Linked DNA regions of Nothobranchius furzeri. The protein of the gene in region 1 interacts with the protein of each later gene in a pairwise test. Links are inferred from orthologs where the notes say so. Each region holds a gene or a part of one and is shown in the gene's direction. Other genes may lie near its edges. The genes, in order: spry1, creb5b, meox2a, hoxa1a and gemin4.

Evidence for each region.
Region 2: the proteins of spry1 (region 1) and creb5b interact in binary tests that used the Homo sapiens proteins (3 or more experiments, as listed by UniProt). The two-hybrid records come from large-scale screens. The link is inferred for Nothobranchius furzeri from reciprocal best matches to the Homo sapiens genes SPRY1 and CREB5.
Region 3: the proteins of spry1 (region 1) and meox2a interact in binary tests that used the Homo sapiens proteins (3 or more experiments, as listed by UniProt). The two-hybrid records come from large-scale screens. The link is inferred for Nothobranchius furzeri from reciprocal best matches to the Homo sapiens genes SPRY1 and MEOX2.
Region 4: the proteins of spry1 (region 1) and hoxa1a interact in binary tests that used the Homo sapiens proteins (3 or more experiments, as listed by UniProt). The two-hybrid records come from large-scale screens. The link is inferred for Nothobranchius furzeri from reciprocal best matches to the Homo sapiens genes SPRY1 and HOXA1.
Region 5: the proteins of spry1 (region 1) and gemin4 interact in binary tests that used the Homo sapiens proteins (3 or more experiments, as listed by UniProt). The link is inferred for Nothobranchius furzeri from reciprocal best matches to the Homo sapiens genes SPRY1 and GEMIN4.

What each region holds. Positions count from the first base shown.
Region 1 is NC_091741.1:72,820,587-72,824,841, reverse strand, and holds the start of spry1 (protein sprouty homolog 1), read left to right. Parts: upstream 1-1,448; 5' UTR 1,449-2,125; intron 2,126-2,161; exon of another isoform or gene 2,162-3,013; intron 3,014-3,137; 5' UTR 3,138-3,187; coding exon 3,188-4,255. UniProt on the Homo sapiens protein: Inhibits fibroblast growth factor (FGF)-induced retinal lens fiber differentiation, probably by inhibiting FGF-mediated phosphorylation of ERK1/2. Inhibits TGFB-induced epithelial-to-mesenchymal transition in lens epithelial cells.
Region 2 is NC_091745.1:35,742,126-35,745,636, forward strand, and holds part of creb5b (cyclic AMP-responsive element-binding protein 5), read left to right. Parts: intron 1-489; coding exon 490-567; intron 568-1,278; coding exon 1,279-1,372; intron 1,373-3,511. UniProt on the Homo sapiens protein: Binds to the cAMP response element and activates transcription.
Region 3 is NC_091745.1:64,691,385-64,695,689, reverse strand, and holds the start of meox2a (homeobox protein MOX-2), read left to right. Parts: upstream 1-1,505; 5' UTR 1,506-1,844; coding exon 1,845-2,400; intron 2,401-4,305. UniProt on the Homo sapiens protein: Mesodermal transcription factor that plays a key role in somitogenesis and somitogenesis and limb muscle differentiation. Required during limb development for normal appendicular muscle formation and for the normal regulation of myogenic genes.
Region 4 is NC_091751.1:29,552,112-29,556,182, reverse strand, and holds the start of hoxa1a (homeobox protein Hox-A1a), read left to right. Parts: upstream 1-1,267; 5' UTR 1,268-2,435; coding exon 2,436-3,036; intron 3,037-3,394; coding exon 3,395-3,774; 3' UTR 3,775-4,071. UniProt on the Homo sapiens protein: Sequence-specific transcription factor. Regulates multiple developmental processes including brainstem, inner and outer ear, abducens nerve and cardiovascular development and morphogenesis as well as cognition and behavior.
Region 5 is NC_091753.1:62,515,959-62,520,166, forward strand, and holds the start of gemin4 (gem-associated protein 4), read left to right. Parts: upstream 1-1,400; 5' UTR 1,401-1,496; coding exon 1,497-1,506; intron 1,507-1,839; coding exon 1,840-3,804; intron 3,805-3,893; coding exon 3,894-4,050; intron 4,051-4,123; coding exon 4,124-4,208. Other genes in the region: dhrs13b.2 (tapasin-related protein), read right to left, coding at 1-179, 274-549, 624-800, 905-950. UniProt on the Homo sapiens protein: The SMN complex catalyzes the assembly of small nuclear ribonucleoproteins (snRNPs), the building blocks of the spliceosome, and thereby plays an important role in the splicing of cellular pre-mRNAs.

The sequences.
Region 1 (4,255 bases):
AGCGGGGATCCTGGCGGCCATCTGTCGCAGGATTTGTTTCATCGCCAAGAGGCGGGATTCTTGGTTCACTCCTTTCTGCTTCACGTTTGCACTCGCCTCAAAGTCTATTTGGTTCTCTTTTTTTTTTTTTTTTTTTTTTTTTTTTTTTGCGCATTTACTGACCCGAAATGGTCCCGGGGGTCATTCACTATTGATTTTTCCATTTGAATGGGATAAATTGACTTTGTATTGAGCTTCCTTTCTCATGGATCCGGATGTGGCGCATCCGCGACACCAATCAAACCAGACAGTCAGGAACAGAGGAGGAGGAGGAGGTTTGAAGCAGGAGTGTGGGCGGGGGAGGAGGGGGAGAGTTTTTTCCCCCTGGCTGCAGGGCTGCTTTTTTTGTTAAGGTGGTCCGAAACTAACCTCTGCAAAAGTGACGCACATGACAGCATACAGTGATGCGTAACTTCCATGTCAGACTCACATCCGCGCAATCTGGCTACCACCACATATTTTATTTTCTCAGATGCTACACACACAGGCGTAATGGGAACATTCCACAGAGGACAGAAGACATCCTGTTGATGTTTCCTCCCCACACACGTCTTCAGACTGAGCTGTCCAAAACAGGGTTCAAAAACAGGACCTCGCGTTTGCTTCGGATTTAATAAATCTATCATGAAACTTTGTGGTGGCAATGGTTATGTCATGGATCCTAAAATGACTTAAATGGATATGAATGTAATTAATCTTTTTGTACATACTTTTTGTTTTTACATATTGTTTTTAAACCGGTTTCCTATTATCAGTGTTTTTATTATTATTGGCATTTTAAATGCATTTTTAATCCACAGGTTTGATCAAATTTTGATTGGTAAAGCTGATAAACTTTTCCAGATTATCATTCATTCTTAAAAAATCAGTTTGGAGTAACTTAAATTTGTATTTTTCAGTTCAAAACTTTTCTTGAGAATCGACTCTTGGCCTGCTGCACCAAGCTGACACCTCAGAACAGCTCTCCTCAAATTTGACCCTGCACAAACATAATCCAAATTGTGTTGTTTTTAATCCAGCGGTTATTATCGAATACAATACAGCTGTGATGATTTGTCAAGTCTAATTTGACTTATTTGAGCTTTAATTCTGAGTATTTAAAACTATTCTCAGAAAAAACGCACGCCAAAAAAAACTCGTTCAAAACTTGTTTTACTGGAAAGTCATATTTTTACTAGTTGTTTATATGGAAATTTAACTACTTCCATGTTTTTTTATTTAAATTAGTCTGAAAAAAGAACTCAAAACAGGTTAGGTTTCTGCACTGATAGCAGCAGACCATCCATAGATGCATGAGTTTATTATATTAATATTAGTCCCAATAACCCTCTTCAGATCACCATAACTCACAAGAGCGGAAACAAGCCCCCCTCCTCGCACCGTCGCAAAGTGGAAAGCCGTTCCACCTTAACAAGTGCGCATATCTCTATCGGCCATGCTTCCACATCTGCCCAATGAATCAGGAGCGGATGCGATGTATCCTTTTTCAGGCGAGTGAATGGCCAATGGGAGTTGGTTAGTCGAGCAAACAGTGAGTGCTGCGTTCCCATTCATTCAGTGCTGAGCAGGCCCGCAGAGCTGGAGGGAGCGCACCGCCGACTAACCTAAAGGACGCACTTTTTAACTTCTTCGCCGCACATGAAGAGCGCAGATTCCCCGCAACAAGACCAGAAGGCGAACGCGGTTTTCCCAATAAGGAGGTGCAAACGTATGGATATAAACGCACACTTTCCCGGTGGTTTAAAATTTCCTGACAGTTTCTCCAGGACTTGTTGAAGCGGCGCGACTCGTTCTGGGGTCGGCCTCCGGAGTACGCAGCAGCTCCTCTGGTGACTCCTCTTTCCTCCGTGGATTTACACCGTTTCATCCTGGGACACATGCACGCTTGATCGGCAATGAACTATTTTTCAAACACCTAGAATAAGGGAATACCTCAAAAGGAATACGCTCGGGTTTGGAATAACAGACTAAATGTTATGCATTACACCTCCTAGCCTGCATTTGGACATTGCACCTTCCTATTTCGGATGGACTTTTGGTAACCTGGTTGGTTGATGGATTCCGCGATATGGGTGCTTGCATATAGGTAAGCATCTATTTTATCTTTCTTTTCCCGCTGTCGTTTTCTGATAAAAGCGCACGGAGCGAGCTGGAACCCATCGTATTGGTGACACAGTTGCGTTGCGCACTGAGTTTTACGGCTTTCCGCGTCATTTTTCGATGTTTTTTGGGGTATTTGGAACAAAACGCCCGCCAGCGGGTTGGATTCGTGGTGATTAGTTGACGGATTTCCATGCCCGTGTAGCTCCGTGGCTGCGCTGTAATAAACACCCCTCCCCCACGGCGGTTGTTTTCATTCATAAGTTCCCCTGTCTGTTTGGAAGCCTCCTCCAACGAATCCTGGTCTCCGGTTTTATAGGCTCTGGCTTGTATTCCCGCACTACTTCTGCTAAATGTGATCTGTGCGGATAGTCTCACGTGTGGTGCGCCAATCTGACGCAGAAAATGGGCAGCAAACCTCGGGCTTTTTTCCCGGTCGTGTAGCTTTTGGCCTCCTGCAGGTTGACTTTGCTTCAGAACATCCCCGAAGGCTTAAACTGGAGTTCCTGACCGTATTTAAGTGTAAACAGCGAACGTTGCGACACAGCGACTTCCCAAAAAATGCGCATTTTCTTTATTATTGCACGCCAGTGCGACATTCTGTTGTTTTAAAACTCAGCCTGTCTTTTGTCAGATCTTGATCTGACCCTAATATTTTTCTGAGCTGTGCTCCGGTCCTCGTTTTTTCCTGCACTTCTTTTCGAGCTTGTGACAGAATACTAAGTGAGGCAACTCATTTAGCTCCCTTGGATCGTGTCCTCATTTCGTTGCCGCGCAGCATTTAAATGTTAACTAGTCATACAAATGTAAATGAGGATGGGAAGTATTTGTAGGGCCTACTGAAGTTTAGATGTGTGCGTACTGGGAAGGAAAGGTACAAAAGGTCTTGTTAATGGTCAACTTTTTCTCCCTGGCTGCTTCCAAACTGAATCAAAATTGACATGTCTCTTCCGTCTTCCCCTTCTCCCCCTCTGCCTCCATTCCCCATCTCTTGACAGGTTTTCCAATGCATGTCCACGGTGAATGTCGGAAGTGGTGATCCCCCCAGATGGAGCTCCAAAGTCAACATGGCCCTGGCGGTTCATTAGTGGTGATCCAGCAGCCTTCCCTTGAGAGAGGGCAGAGGTTGGAGATTGAGCATGCAGCCATTCTGTCCCTGGAACAAATCAAGGCCATCCGCTCCAGTAACGAGTACACGGAGGGGCCATCGGTGGCTCGGAGGCCCCCTGTGCCCCGCATGGCCCCCAGGCCTCAGGACAAGCAGGAGAGGACTCATGAGGTCATCCTCGTCAATGTGAACAACAATTATGAGCGTCGGCCACCAGGTCATCATCACCTTGGGGGTGGCATGGTGGTTGTGTCTGGGGCACAACAGCAAGGTGGGCCTCGAGCACCTGGGCTCAGCCGCTCAACCAGCACCGGAAGTGCCGCCAGCTCGGGGAGCAACAGCAGTGCCTCCTCCGAGCAGGGACTCCTAACACACTCGCCACCCGCCAGGCCCGGCGTGAATCTACAGCACCACCACAGGGCAGACCGGCCTGTTCGGACTCAACCTAAACCCAAGAACCTTTCACATCCCCAACAGGGACTTCACTTCCACCAGCCTCCACTAGAGGCTCCACTAAAGCCCCAGGGCAAAGGAAAGTCAGACTTTTCTGGCTCGGGTGACTCAGTGGTGGCTGCTGCTGGACACCAGTTCATCTGTGAGTGCTGCGGGAAGTGTAAGTGCAGTGACTGTAGGGCTCCCAGGAGCCTGCCATCATGTTTGGCATGTAATGGTCAGTGCCTCTGCTCTGCTGAAAGTGCTCTTGAGCATGGCACGTGCATGTGCCTTGTTAAGGGCATCTTCTACCACTGCTCCAATGACGATGAGGGCGATTCGTGCGCTGACCACCCCTGCTCCCTGTCGCGCTCCCACTGCTGCTCTCGTTTCCTGTGCATGGGGTTAATGTCGGTACTCTTCCCTTGTCTGCTATGCTACCCACCTGTTAAGGGCTGTCTGAAGGCGTGCCAGGGTTGCTATGACCGGGTTAACCGACCCGGCTGTCGCTGCAAGAACTCCAACACTGTCTATTGTAAACTGGAGAGCTGGGCCCCACAGAGCCAGGAGAAGCCT
Region 2 (3,511 bases), on another chromosome or scaffold:
TATGTTTTCTATCTAAGAGGATCTAAGAACCAAGCTAAATGTGTTTAGAGCTGTAAGGACATTTGGATTAAAAGTTGTGTTTATATATTGAAAATGAATTTAACTCTTAACTAACTGTCCACTGCTTACCTTACAGAACGTTCCTCAACACAACTCTAGCAACTAAATCAGCAAAACCTTTAATCATTTCGCTGGTTTGATGCATCAGAAATTTGCATCTTCGCTGGTGATTGTAGATCAGTGCAGAGCAGCGTGTTCATTCTTGAGAAAACATTTATGACTTAATTTAAATTAGCTAAACGAAACAGGATTAGTACTTCTTACTGTATATTTGTTCTTATACAATCTATTGAGAATACATGTTATGCTTTAGCAAAACTTCGTATATTTTATGTAAAAATGCATTTGAAATATACTTTTTCAAGCTTTTTCAAAGTTACTGTTTCAAGGAAACAACAGTTCATATTTTCTTTTTTATGTTTTCTCTAGTTTTATGAGACTCTGGCCAGAGGGATGAACTCAGACCAGGAAAGGCTGTTTGTGTGTAACGCTCCCGGCTGTTCTCAGGTCAGTGTGGGTACAAACCAAAGCCCGAAACCACCAAGCAGCCAGACTTTCTTGTAATATTTGGTAGTGTTCTTGATCAATAGTTCTCCAGGTTTTTGGAAAGATTTTTATAGACTTTGACGGTTATTTTACTAGTTTTCTGTCCAGTTCTTAGGTTTGATCATGACACTAAGGATGGAGGACAAAATAAGTTTAGATCTAAAATAAACTGTCTGCAGCAGATGAACGATCTGAAAGTTGTATTTTTAATAAATGGAGAAAAGAAATCAATCAAAAAGTTGATCCAGGACGTGAGAAATGCACCATCCTGGTCTTGGCCCTGTGTCGCTACCTTTTTTTAATAAATTCAACAGAAAAATTGGAACAAGTGAAGTCTTTGTGACAGACTGATCTAATTTAAAACTGTATTTTTGTCTAGTTGCTTGTTTAGTGTTGATGCAACAGTGGCTCATGCCTTGAGTTTAGCTTCCCACGCTTGAACGATTCACTGTCAGGATCAAGTGGCTTAAACAAGTAACAGAAAAACAGATCAGTTCGTTTTCAGGCACTGGACTGAAAATAGCTGAAACTAACAGCAAAAGTCCAGATTTATTACTAGAAATTCTGATTCTTCCGAAGCTAAAGCAGGGATGTACCTCAAGACTTTTAGACAGTTTCTTCTCGTTAGTGTAAATAATACTCACACACCTCTTCTTCTTCCAAACCGAACAGCGGTTCCCCACGGAAGACCATCTGATGATCCATCGACACAAACATGAGATGACCCTTAAATTCCCCAGCATAAAGAATGACAACATGTTATCAGGTGAGTTATGACAGCATCAACACTGTTAGAGTCCAGCAGCTTTGCTCGCAGATGTGTGCCAAGGTGACGCATGCACACACATTCTTGTCTGTCATTAGACACCTTTATGGCAAGCTGTTTACAGTAATGTAAATCATATGGTGCGTAGCCTTCAGCTCACTTCCAGTCATTGCATACCAACGGTGCAAACTTCAGCGGAGGCAGATGCACTCACATAGCCGATGCAGACGCGCTCACATAGCCGATGCAGACGCGCTCACATAGCCGATGCAGAAGCGCTTACATAGCCGATGCAGACGCGCTCACATAGCCGATGCAGACGCGCTCACATAGCCGATGCAGACTCGCTCACATAGCCGATGCAGACGCGCTCACATAGCCGATGCAGACGCGCTCACGTAGCCGATGCAGACGCGCTCACATAGCCGATGCAGACGCGCTCACATAGCCGATGCAGAAGCACTCACATAGCTGATGCAGACGCGCTCATGTAGCGGATGCAGACGCGCTCACGTAGCCGATGCAGACACACTCACATAGCGGATGCAGACGCACTCACATAGCCGATGCAGACGCGCTCACATAGCGGATGCAGACGCGCTCACATAGCGGATGCAGACGCGCTCACATAGCGGATGCAGACACACTCACATAGCGGATGCAGACACGCTCACATAGCGGATGCAGACACACTCACATAGCGGATGCAGACACGCTCACATAGCGGATGCAGACGCCCTCACATAGCGGATGCAGACGCACTCACATAGCCGATGCAGACGCGCTCACATAGCGGATGCAGACACGCTCACATAGCGGATGCAGACACGCTCACATAGCGGATGCAGACGCGCTCACATAGCCGATGCAGACGCACTCACATAGCGGATGCAGACGCCCTCACGTAGCGGATGCAGACACACTCACATAGCGGATGCAGACACGCTCACATAGCGGATGCAGACGCGCTCACATAGCGGATGCAGACGCGCTCACTTAGCGGATGCAGACGCACTCACGTAGTGGATGCAGACACGCTCACATAGCGGATGCAGACGCGCTCACATAGCGGATGCAGACGCACTCACGTAGTGGATGCAGACACGCTCACGTAGCGGATGCAGACACGCTCACATAGCGGATGCAGACACGCTCACATAGCCGATGCAGACGCGCTCACATAGCGGATGCAGACGCACTCACATAGCGGATGCAGACTCACTCACATAGCGGATGCAGACGCACTGACATAGCCGATGCAGACGCGCTCACGTAGCGGATGCAGACGCGCTCACGTAGCGGATGCAGACGCACTCACGTAGCGGATGCAGACGCGCTCACGTAGCCGATGCAGACGCACTCACATAGCGGATACAGACGCGCTCACGTAGCGGATGCAGACGCGCTCAAGTAGCCGATGCAGACGCGCTCACATAGCGGATGCAGACGCACTCACGTAGCGGATACAGACGCGCTCACGTAGCCGATGCAGACGCGCTCACATAGCGGATACAGACGCGCTCAAGTAGCCGATACAGACGCGCTCACGTAGCCGATGCAGACGCGCTCACATAGCCGATGCAGACGCACTCACATAGCGGATGCAGACGCACTCACATAGCCGATGCAGACGCGCTCACGTAGCCGATGCAGACGCACTCACATAGCGGATGCAGACGCGCTCACGTAGCGGATACAGACGCGCTCACGTAGCGGATGCAGACACACTCACATAGCGGATGCAGACACGCTCACATAGCGGATGCAGACGCGCTCACATAGCGGATGCAGACGCACTCACGTAGTGGATGCAGACACGCTCACGTAGCGGATGCAGACACGCTCACATAGCGGATGCAGACACGCTCACATAGCCGATGCAGACGCGCTCACATAGCGGATGCAGACGCACTCACATAGCGGATGCAGACTCACTCACATAGCGGATGCAGACACACTCACATAGCCGATGCAGACGCGCTCACGTAGCGGATGCAGACGCGCTCACGTAGCGGATGCAGACGCACTCACGTAGCGGATGCAGACGCGCTCACGTAGCCGATGCAGACGCACTCACATAGCGGATACAGACGCGCTCACGTAGCGGATGCAGACGCGCTCAAGTAGCCGATGCAGACG
Region 3 (4,305 bases), on another chromosome or scaffold:
AATGGATTAGTGTTCTCATTATCAGATGTTCTGGAATACCTTTTATTGGGTGGAGCAGGTTTCATAAAACATTCAGGAAAACCTCCTTAAAGAGCTTCGTGTTTGGATCAGAGAACAGCCGAGTTCCACATGGTCCAAAGAGCAAGAAGACTAGAGCAGAATTTTAAATTAGGTTCATGTACTCTTGAATATAATTGATGAATTCATTATTATTTATAGCAATTAGACCAAGTTTCATGTGTGGATTTGATGCCCAAATCCATGTTTCTAACTAGTATTTATTTTAAAAACTATACATATAACTAAAATATTTGAATTGTATAAATAAAATAGGTTAAGAAAAATTTGTTTTGTCAACAGATTAAATTAAATAAAAAACTGAAAAGAATAAAAAAGAAACATATTCCTTAAAATATTTTATGGCCTTAAAAAATAATTCCAAGTCTTAATTAACACAAAATAAATTTATGTGCAGAATTTCTCTTTTATTAGGATTAAAACAAACCTGATTCATGCAAATAAAATACTTACTAAGGTAAAAAAAAGAGTTGTAAATAAACATTTAGTGACATCAACATAAAAAACTGCTTCAGAGGTTGGATGGATAAAAAGCAAGGGGTCTTACTAAAGAACCCTGAGGGACACCACAGGTTAAAGAAGCTGATTTATAAGAAAAATCTCTGATGTATACAGAAAAGGATCCTTCGCTCAGATAAGAGGCTAACTTATTAAAAAGGTTCCTTGAACGTTCTCAAGACGAGGGATAAAAAGTCATGACCTGCTGGATCGAGTGCAGCTGTGAGATGCTGTGATAAACAGCTCCGACACCAGAGTCAACAACAATTAGAATATCATGAATCGTCTTTAAGGGCTGGATTAAACCAGATTGAAAACCCCACACATATGGGTATGTGGTTAAAAAACTACTGGAATACAATGATCCACCTTCTCTTTTAAAAGTAAAACAGCGTAAAGGCGGGTTGTGACGTCCACAGGGTTCAGTAATCAAAAAAAAAAATCCACATTTGAATCTGTATTTGTGTATCAGTTGATTCATTCTTTATTTTAGCCGCTAAATAAAATAATAACAAAGTGTGAATTATTTGTTTACACAAAAAAATTACTCAATAGGTGACAGGAAGCCGGAGAGCATCACCGTGGCTCCCGGCTGTGGCGGTATTTGTTTAGCGATGCCGTGACGTGCTGAGTTAACCTTTGACATCTCTCCACTTCCCCTGACTCCACATCCCCTTCTTCCAGCCACACCCGTGAGACATTCACGTCGTTTTTAACACGTAAAAATCAAAAAGAAAGGGAAGATGGGCACCACAGGTCAAGTCCAAAATTAGGCTCAGCCATTTTAATAGTGTAGATTTATTATGCTGTGCTTTTAGGAGGGTGATCATATATATGTGGTCAGTAGCGCGTATGCAGTCTATGACCCAGCCTCCCTCTCACGTTACACCCTATTTATAACATCCCCTTTGCTGGCTCCCCTCGTTCTGCAGTTCCTAGGAACCTCCTGCGCTTCCAGCCTCGAGCCTCAGTCTTGTGTTCCTCCTGACATCTGAGAAGAGGTGCAGCAGCTTGTCCTGGGCTAACTGTTTATCCTGCACAGCCTGCCAGGCAGACGCATGCTCTGGATTACCACAGGACACCAGTCTCAGAGCACTTTTTGCTCTCCACGCTGACTTTTTGATTACTGTGCTTTAAGGGGAACACAGAAAAGGTTTTGGGAAAGTCTCTTGGATATGTGCGTGTGATCTTTCTTTGTTTCCTGGTGATTTAGTAACTTCATCCCCGTTACCTGCTCGTCTCACCTGTACTGGAGGTCTCCTCACCCCATGGATCACACGCTGTTCGGATGCCTGCGGAGCCCCCATGTCCCGGGTCAGGCCCTGCATCCTGCCTTCACCCAGTCCCCCCTGACTCTTCATGGACGCTCAGATCACATCACCTACCCCGACCTGGCCTCTTCATCCTCCTCCTCCTCCACATCTTCCCCTTCGCCCTGTGTCATCTCCAGCTACTCGACTGATGATGGCCTGTTTACCCACCACCACCACCACCACCACCACCGGAGTCACCTGCCTTCCCAGCAGCATCACCAACAACCTCAGCATCACGCATCTTGGCACATCCCACAGATGCCGTCACCTGGCGGCGGCAGTGTGCGTCACGGCCTCTGCCACCCGCATTCCCTCTCGTCCCACGAGAATGTTCCCACACCTCCGGACCTGGGCCACCCCGGGGCACCCAGTATGTGCGCCAGCACCCCGACGCTGGGCAATGACAGTACCCCCACGGGGGCCTCCTGCGTACCCTCAGACTTTGGCAGACAGACTCTGTCACCTGCCGAGGCTGAGAAGAGGAGCAACAAGAGGAAAAGTGACAGTTCAGGTAAGAAGAGATGAGATGATCCTAGAGAGGGAGTTTAATTCTATTATTTCACAAGACCGCCCACACGCAGACTAAAAGTGAATCAGCATTTTTAAAAATGACCACAAACATCTGTACAAGTTGGCGGGATTCTGGGAAATCCACAGCTGTGATAGAAAAACCAAAAATCAGTTTGTAGGCGTCGGCTGACACGCAGCGACGCTGCAGGCGTACGGCGGCGCTGAGCAAAGGCCACGCTGCGACTGCACGGGCACATCTGACTGCTGGCACGCTTTGTGTAAAACTAACATCTGGTTTGTTGCGACGCTCTTCAGAGGGCAGAAAACAAGGTGCACAGTTAAGAATTGATGTCATGGATTGTAAAAGGCAACACCGGCGCCTCGTGCTGCACTTAACGCCTCACTGAGGCAAACATGTCAGGTCTTTTCTTCTTTCTGAATCTTGTGGTGAAAATAAATCACTGGAACGAAGCGGGAAACATAAGGAGTCACGATGATCTAAGAAGGCAAACTTTTAAATAAATGAGCACACTGGAAAGAAAAATCTCAAACAGCATGTTATTATTTTAATAATTAAAACAGTGATCAAATGTTTTACTAATTTACCAACAAATATAGTTTAACTTAAAAAATGATCTGCTTTGTAGCGCTGCTTTTGAGTTTAATTTAACAACTTTAGCCCGTGTCCCCTCAAAACCCTAACCCTAAATTACGTTTGAATCAAGCTGAACCAAAGAATCACACAAATACCACAAAAGCAGATTTGACTAAATGTGTACCGACTGAGATCACCTGCTGGATGACCTGCAGACACCCACCGAAATAATCAATCACTGCCTGACAAACGTCTGGGTTTAGGTCACGGGAGTCCTGGCAGGGAAGCTGATATCGCTGAGAGTTTCAAGGAAACGTGTGCTCGCCGTTCCCTCAGTCCTTTTGTGGATGGCAGAGCTTCAGCGCCGATCTTGCATCCTTTTAAAGGCCTCTGTTGTCACATCTCAGATTTTCTCATATGGGATTATAATTTTGATTCCAACAGTTTATAAATAAATGTTTGTAAATTTTATTTTAGAATAAGCCTTTGTTGGGTTTATTAGCCCCGCCCCGAAACACGACTGGAAATAATTTGATTTATAATTCACAGTCAGTCCAGATGTGATGGAATTGGAAGAAAATTGGAAAAATCATTGCAACACAATAAAAACAAAATGACGAAGCCTAATTTATTTAGTTGTTCCGAGTTAAACGTCCAGTTATCCAAATGGAAAATGTTGCAATCGCATATTTCATCAATGCGCTGCTTAAAAAATTTTTCTTCTCTCCGTTTGAAATCCCCGGAAAACCGAAATCCTGCCTTTGCTGCTGCGTCAGATGAGCTATGCATTCTCGCCACAGCAACACCAATCATACTGATTATGGAGGCTAACGACACTGCTGACTCAGTCAGCTGTCTAAATATCAGACCGCTCGCTGCCTTCTGCATGAGATAGAGCCTGGCTTGGATTCCAGCATCTGGACCAGGAGCTCGAAGGAAACCTGAATTTAGCAACAGAAATAAAAACAAAACCTGAGAACTTATTTCCATGTTCAGTTTTTACCTCCTTTCTCCTCCAATATGGATCAGTTTTCTGCTTTTGCTACCAGGTTGTGACTGTTTCCTGATGCCAGGCTGCAGGCTCAGTTAATGAGCTGAGTCAGGGAGTCTGGTTTCTGCTTGGGTTTGGGGTTTTTTGTGGGTCTTGTGAGGAAAGGGTGTCTTTGCTGAGTTGATAGTGCTGCGGAGGGAGTGGTCGTCCTTTAAAAAGTTCAGAGTTTTCTGACAGAAACAATAAAAGATGCTTTTTTGGATGAGGTGTTGTTATAAAAAGTGCAAGCGTGAGGTGCCAGAGTCTTCTCGCTGGCACTA
Region 4 (4,071 bases), on another chromosome or scaffold:
AATTGTGGCGTAATGTGCACAAATAAAAACCCCACTTACGTTTTCATGCGGGACTCCCCGATTCCTAAGCTAAAAGGGGCCGAGCTCTCTGCGTGCGTTTGGTAATAATTCATTTTTATGGCTTGTTTAACACGCGGCTCTGACTCGGAGACAGCAGCAGCAGCAGCTCAGGTTAAAGCTGCTCTTATTTAGCGTCGCTTCTCCACTCACACTGGTGGAATCTGTGATTTTTTTTATTTAAAGACAAGACTGGTTTGTGTGCGTTTCAAACCCCTCACTTCAATAAAGGGATTATGAACATTTTAGCACTCTTGCGCAGCTTTGATTGGATTTATGGGAACTCAATAATCCAGTTTAACTCAGAATCACTAAAAAACACCAGTTGAGATGAAAGCTGCAGTGATTTTTCAAAACGTGTCAAACTTAGCCGAAAGCAGAAAATCAGCTCTAACTTTGGCTGTGTGCGTGTGTGGGTGTGTGTGTGTGCGCGCGCGCGCGCGTGTGTTCAGATGAGGGGGTGGTAGGAGGAAGCAGGGGGCAGATGCTGCTCTCCTGCACTACGGGCCTGCATAACCAAATCATTCCGAGACAGCGCGCCTTTTCTGCGCCCCCGCGGCCACACAAAGAGCCGCGGAATCTCCGCGGGGCCCGGCTGGCCTCAAGCAGCAGAGACGCGATGGATCCTCCGCGCCCACTCACTACAGAGGCAGCTGCTGGAGAGGGGTGGGGGTGGAATGGAAACCAGTTCGTCTCTCTCTCTCTCTCTCTCTCTCTCTCTCTCTCTCTCTCTCTCTCTCTCTCTCTCTCTCTCTCTCTCTCTCTCTCTCTCTCTCTCTCTCTCTCTCTCTCTCTCTCTCTCTCTCTCTCCCTCCCTCTGCTATGTAGTTTGCAACAAGTCTTTGAACATTTTCACATCTAATTTTGTTTTTCTAACATCCTAAAACATTACATTTAAGACAAAGTAGAACTACATTTGACTAATGGAAAAAAGCTGCACATTTGAATGTTGCTAATATTTTACTGATACTGCTTGTTTGAGTACCAGTGAGACAACTTAGACGTTTGTAGGAAAAATAAATAGAGTGTAAAATCTGAATCACGCTTTTCTGAGCTGAATTAATCTACTTAATAACAGAAGCACGTTTATTTAAGTGCATGTCTATCTTCAGCCTGAGGGGGCGCTCATCCCTCCATCTGATCCTTCCCTTCGCCCTCCCTCCCTCCCTCTCCTCTATTCCTTCCTCGGTTAGAGGTTGGGCATCTGCTACAACCCCCTCACTCCCCTCCGCTCTCGCGCCTCCCGTGACCATTCGTTTTCCCAGCAGCTTTATTTGATGAACTTAACAGGATAATCAGCCCACTCGCACCTCGGGCTACATATGCGCATTAGCAGGCTTCGCATTATTATATCATTTGATCACCATACATGCATAATGAATACATGCGGGACTGGAACTCTGGTAGATGGCTGACCTATGACCCGAGAACGGAACAAAACATTAATATCACATCACCTTAATGGTTTTGTCTCCTAATCACGTTTGTGCGCTACTTCAGGCACATTTTAAACGTAATTTGAGCTTTTTGCGCATCCTTTTGCGGTGTTTTATGAATATATGACCGGATCATCTCTCCTCGTAACGTGAAATGCACAAACCTGCTCCTGCTGCGACCTTAAGAGGAAACGAAATTCTGCTGGAAGGTGGCTTGGTGCGATGGGATGGATGTATTTAACAGGGGAAACACGTCCTCTCCATCACATTGTAACAATATTTGCCCAGAAAATCCCTTAATGTTCCAGCGTGAAACATTTCACATCGGAATGGGACATTAATAGCCTAAAGATAGCCCGCGGCTGCAGCGAGCGCGCGCACTCTCAGCCATCCATCCTTCCTGGACAGAATGACACATGCGACACCAGGGCTTATACGCACGGAGACGCCAACACACGCGCGCACGCACACAGACTCACACTTCTCTGTTCTAAAAATACCTGAGGTCAGAGTGCAGAGCGGTCCACCTTGGATGACATCTCTCCTCAGTGTGAGATTGCGCAGCAGGGGGGTTAAAAGACACCGGGTTCACCGTCTCAGCAGCTCCTCGTGTGTCCCGGAGCTGTCCACCTCCGTCTGCCTCCCAGCCCATTGTTTGCTCGGCCAATACATTAGTGGCGACGCGCGTCACCTTGATCGACGAGCGCCTGGAATTTAAATAGCCCCTCAAACACCAATCTGTCACCGGCTAAAGGGACAAGGACCCTCACTGGCTGACCCGTGCCCACGTGACAGTGCCCGTTCATTGATATCCCCAGCACCCCCCTCCCTGCACTGATAGGGACAGAAAGGTAAAGGTTGGCACGGTCACTTTAGGGTGAGAGTGTGGAGAGATCAGAGGGGGAGAGGACAGTCTCCTGGTCCCAGACTAACGATGCTACAATGAGCAGCTTCCTAGATTACTCGGTGATGAGCGGTGAGGGTGGCTCATGTTCGATCAGGGCTTTCCACTCGGACCACGGGATTACAACTTTCCAGTCCTGCGGGGCTGCAATCAGCAGCTGCGGGGCGGATGAGCACTTCATGGCAAACAGGACTTCCCCTGACAGCATCCCTCACCAGCCGGCCTCTTACCAGCCTACTGCCACCTCTATGGGTCTCTCCTATGGGGCCCACCCGGCCTGTGGCTCTAACTATGGGCCCCAAAGTTTCTGCGCCACGTACAACCACTACACACTCAACCAGGAAGTAGACTCTGCACCTGCATTCCCCCAGTGCAGCCCTTTGATGTTTTCAGGTAACATCTCTTCCTCCATGGTGTCTCAGCATCGCCATGGCTACAGTGCTGCCACCTTGGGCCAGCTGCAGTATGCTGCTTATGGCGGGGGTCATGAACAGGCACCTTCTTATCCTGGGGCCTCCAACCCGCTGTCACCTCTGCATGCAGCTCACCTGGAAGCTTGCTGCTCACCTCTGTCAGAGAGCGCATCTTCTGCGCAGACTTTCGACTGGATGAAAGTCAAAAGAAATCCACCGAAAACAGGTGGGTGCAGAGCTGTACCAGCACGAGGGAGATAGGTGGGAATCTAGTCTGTTGCTATTATTGGTTTTAATTGGTTTTAATCGGTCAAGCAGACTGGAATCCACACAGGAGATGTTGACACTGCGAGCGCGTTGACGCGCAAACGCATTAAATGTCCATGTTTCCACTTCAAGCGTGCGCCCCTTTCTTTTAAAAGTTGGTTTAAAGACATTTGTCTTTAACTATAGAGTGTGTTTTATATGTAAAATAATTAGGTTTTCTTTGCCTGCTGCGTAAAAGTTGGTTCTTTTGGATAATCGCACAGTTTGTGCGTCCTTTGGGTGAGAAAATAAACTTGAATCCCTCTTCCTGTCCCCAGGTCGCTCCGGCGAGTACGGCTATGCGGGCCAGCCAAACATCGTCCGGACCAACTTCACCACCAAGCAGCTGACAGAGCTGGAAAAAGAATTCCACTTCAACAAATACCTGACCCGGGCGCGCCGAGTGGAGATTGCTGCTGCGCTGCAGCTGAATGAGACTCAGGTGAAGATTTGGTTTCAGAATCGGAGGATGAAGCAGAAAAAGCGCGAGAAAGAGGGGATGCTGCCGGCTAAGGTCCAGTCATCGCACCCGGAAGAAATAAATCAAGAGAAATTAGACGATGCCGCTTCTGAGAGGTCCGTCTCAGCGCCGTCCACGCCCTCTCCCAGCTCATCCACGGTGTCCTCCACTGGCACGGACACGTACACCTCTACCTGAGCAGCCTATCTGGGCCACACGGGCCTGTAAATACCAACGTTTAAATGTATCAAAACCAGAGTCTTTGTTCGTGAATGACATTGTGTGAACATTTATTAAAGTTAGTCCTCCATCCGGGAGCTTTTGGATCACCCTGGAGCTTTAGGTTTAAATTGTGCAATGTGTCTGCAAGAACATCTCTGTATCTTCAGATAAGTTTGATCTGTAACGTGAGCAAAAAAAGGCAGACACGAGTCTGCAAACGAAAACAAATGTAAAGTGGTGTATCCGGGTCATGGCGGGTATGCAGCGCAGGGT
Region 5 (4,208 bases), on another chromosome or scaffold:
TCCCTGCCTGGAGCGTCCGGTGTGGCTGAACAGTCGGGTCCTCTCCCCGCGGCGTTGCCAGTGCCACTCCACAGTGGTGTTTGCTCCCCGGTGGTCCACACTAAACTGGCAGTGGAGCTTTTGTTCAGATCTCAGGCTGGTTTTCACCAGTGGTGTTTCTGTTTTCATTACCATGGCAACTGTGAGACCAGATGGACAAAGACAGAACACAGAGAAACACCATCAAAGAACCAGAACTGGAGCTGTTGGCATTATGGAGTGAAACTAACTGACCTGATGTAGTGAGCATCTGTCCATCAGTGATGGGAACCCAGCTGAGGTAGTCCTGCTTTCCTGGTGGAGGCTGGTCAGACGGGTGTCTGAGGAAGCCGAGCACAGTGAAAAGGCCCTGGTTGTGTTTGAGAGAGACGGAGAACCAGTGGTTGTACTCCCTGGCCTTCTGACTGGGCCAGTGGACATAGATGCCCTGTGTGCTGTATCTACGCAGCTCACACTCCAGCTGTTCTGCCTCCACTCCCTCCACATAGTGCCGCATGTCCACCTTGGACCCTGCAGCAGAACACAGAAGAGTAAGGTGCAACCGTTGTCAGGTGTGTAATGGTGACCTGTGTCAGGTGGCTTACCTGTGACCTGAAAAGTGATGGTGCGTAGATCTACAGGAGCTTCTCCTGTCTGACCAAACTGCAGCACAGCATTTCTGGGGATCCGCTGGGTCTCTCTATGTCCTTCATTGTTCATAATCACCTGTTCATCTGTGAAGTGACAGGGCAGCCATAGTATCTGCTGGCTACAGTAGACCCCTGGAGACAGACCAACAACTCAAAGCAGCTGATCCGAGTGGGCTTCCTCCAAAAACACAAACTGTCCCCACACTCGCAGGGATACAAGCCTTCTGAAGACTTACCTGTCCAGATAAAACCGTAAATAAGAATCCTGCAGGGTGGAACCATGGTTATTCATCAGATCTACTGATCCTTGTTCCTGCTTCATTCAGCTGCACATTTATTCTCAGAACACTTTCGCTTTCATTTACAACGAAAAAAAACCTGCTTTGCATGCAGCTGCATCACGTGACGAGCAGAGACAGTTTCACAAGGAGAAATACTGCAAAACACTTTTAAATGTCACTAAAAGCGAGTAACGTTTAAACCATCACACGTAGGGCTGAACCGGTGTTCCGGTCTGGCGGCAGCACTGGTGAACGCGGTGTCTAGTCAACAACGCAAAACCTCGCAACAGTAAAAACAAACCAGTCAACAATCCAACAGAAAAGGCGAGGAAAACAACAACAACAACAACAATAACAACAAGGTGAAGCAGGTTTGGCGGTTTGCTGGGTTAATGCGGCTGCAGTACCGTATCTATCCAGGGGTGGCGCTGTGGGGACGCCTCGCCACCTGACAGCAGCCCGGCTTCCTGCTGGAAACCGGAAGCGCCTTTCCTGGTAACGAACTGGTTCACGAGGCGGGCGGGTGTATGTTCCTGCCTCCGCAGCCATGGACAAAGGTAATTATTAATGTTAGACATGTCTCGTGAACTTGCGCGAGCTTCGTCTCCAGTCGGTAGAGACGAACATGGCGCTAAACGCTCAGGCTGAAGCAGCAAGCTGCAGGTTTGAAGAGCCCTCTCCTAGCCAGTCGTTCGTTCTGGACCTGCTTCACCTGCAGCCTGCCCCCCCTTCACACACACACACACACACACACACACACACACACACACACACACACACACGCACACACACACACACACACACACACACACACACACACACACACACACCTGGATAACGCTGATCTCGGCCCAGCTCGGGTCTCAGCCTGTTGCTTGCCTGTTTTTCAGATTCCGCCGTGCTCCAGGGAGCTTTCCTCCAGGCAGACAAACTGTGCCTCCCCTCATCCCTGTCCCTGATGCAGAAGGCGGACTGGAGTCGTGTGAAGCTCCCGATCCTGCAGGCCCTCAGAGACACCTGTGGGCTGAGCGCTCTGGCCTGGCAGAAGAAGGTTGTTTGTGTGGTGTGGTTGAAGCTGATGAGCAGTGAGGCTGAGGAAGATGTGGAGAAGGGGTGGAGGGACAACCCTTTCTTCTGCCTCCAGAACGGCCTCCCTGACGTAAGCCGGGCTGTTCTGCTGGAGCTGGTGAAGTCACTCTCAGCTGCGCCGGTCTTTGCCCGCTTGCTCCTGCGTCTGCCTCAGCAGCAGATCTGCACCGAGCTGCAAACGCTGGCAGAGCATCTGAGGACGGATCCCAGTCCTGAAGACGTCTGCTTTCTGTTGGAGGTGTGGTGGGAGCTGTGGAAAGGCAGAGACAAATGTCAGACGCAGGAAGACAAAGACTTAGAGATGATGTTTGTCAGCCAGTTTGCACGCCTGTCCTCCGATTGTCCCAGTGTCTCGCCTCAGGCTGCAAAACGCTTAAAGCTGGACCTTCCTGCATCGTCAGCAAACACAGACGTTCTGCACGTTCTCCTCCATGCTCTTAAGAACATGAAAGATCAAGTATCTACTACAGATTTGTGCCTGCAGTCCCTGTTAGTCTGCCTCGACGCTCTTTACACATCCTTCCTAACAGACCCAGAGGTTGTGCTTCCAGTTGAAGAGAAGTTGCTCATCCTCTGTAGGCTTGTTGACACCAGAGGACAGACGCAGGCGTGGAGCCCCAAACTCCTTCAGGAGGCTCTGAGAGACCTGCGTGCTGCTCACTCACCAGCTCCTTTTCAGCCCAGCAGGATGACGCTGAGCCAAGCTTTGAAGATCGTAGCAGAACTCACAGAATTCTGGCTGGAACAGGATCTCCTGAGCGCTCCTGGCTGCTCCGCGTTCCTGCTGCAGCAGAGCGTCCAGAGAGTCCTGGCAGCTCTAGAAGAAACGGGAACATCTGAGCATGTGACTGAGAAGAGCACACTCAGAGGTCTGCTGAGTTCACTGTCTCTTCCTGCCGTAGAGACCCCCCCTCAGGTGCAGGCTCAGGTCGCTGCCACCGTCATCAGTCACCGCCTGGAGGACTGTGAGGAGTTTGCTGCGCTGTTTGCCAGCCAGTTGTCCTGGACTCATGAAGAGCTGTGGGTGGACTGCCTGGAGAAGAACCACACGGCCTTCACGCAGCCCAACACCCTCATCAGCCTCTCCTCCACCCTCGTGAGTCGCCTGCAGCGTGGGAACGTGAACACCACCTGGTGCAGGAGAGCCATTAAAACGGCTGCAGATGTCTTCTCTGCTCTTTCGTTAGAAAACCAGAACAAGGTCCTCGCTGCAGTACCGAGCCGCTCCAGCAGGGGCTTCTTTGGCTGCTCTGTCCCCTCGGCTGTGGCAGACGGCTTTGAGCAAGAGCTGAACATGGCCTTTAACTGCCTTATCCAGGGAGGGGGCGGGGCCTCAGCAGCAGTGTCCCAGGGCCGCCTGACCACAGCAGCCTCTCTGGTAGCTCGAGTGGCCTTTCAGAGCCCAGAGGCGGCTTTAAGGTCCTGCTGCCACGCCGCCGTTTTCAACAGGGGAGCCTTCAGCCTCATGGCAAAGATCCTGCAGCAGCTGCCTGGACTCCGCGGACGGAGGGGAGGGGAGGATGAGGCAAACGGAAACGATGTGGAGCAGCAGGAAGCTGGAGGGCGTGGTAGTCTGTTCTGTAGGTGTTTACAGACGGCGGTCAGAGGCAAGCCACTGTCCGCCTGTGAAAAGGAGCAGCTCCTCAAGTTCCTGTCTCTGCTCATGGCGCCGGGCCCGACGCTCCAGGGAGAGCAAGAGACACAGAGGTTCTTGTCTCCACAGGAGGTGGTCAACACACTGGTCCTGCCTCGCCTCTCAGCTGCAGGTCGGGGTCCATGCTGGCTTTAATCTCATCTGTGTGTGATCTGTAAACGCTCGTCACATTCTGCTGCTGTCCCATCTGTGTTTCTGCAGCTGAAGAGTCCTGCGATGCAGAACTGAGTCTGCAGCTCCTCCACGCTGCTTTGGCTGTGGGTGTCCAGGAAGTAGCCCCCTCCCCTCACTGGGTGTTGGACTGCTCTCCCTTCCCCCTCCTCTATATTCTGGCCCAGCAGTACAACCAGACTCTCATGTGTGTATGATCCCGTGTGTGTGTGTGTGTGCAGCGGTTGTTGTTGGGCTTCTACTCATCTGATCTCTGTTAGGTGCTGGGAGCGGTCGTCGGAGGACAGCGACCACCTGAGCTCCATGGACACCAAGGAGCTGCTGGAGTCGGTGCTGAGCTTGCTG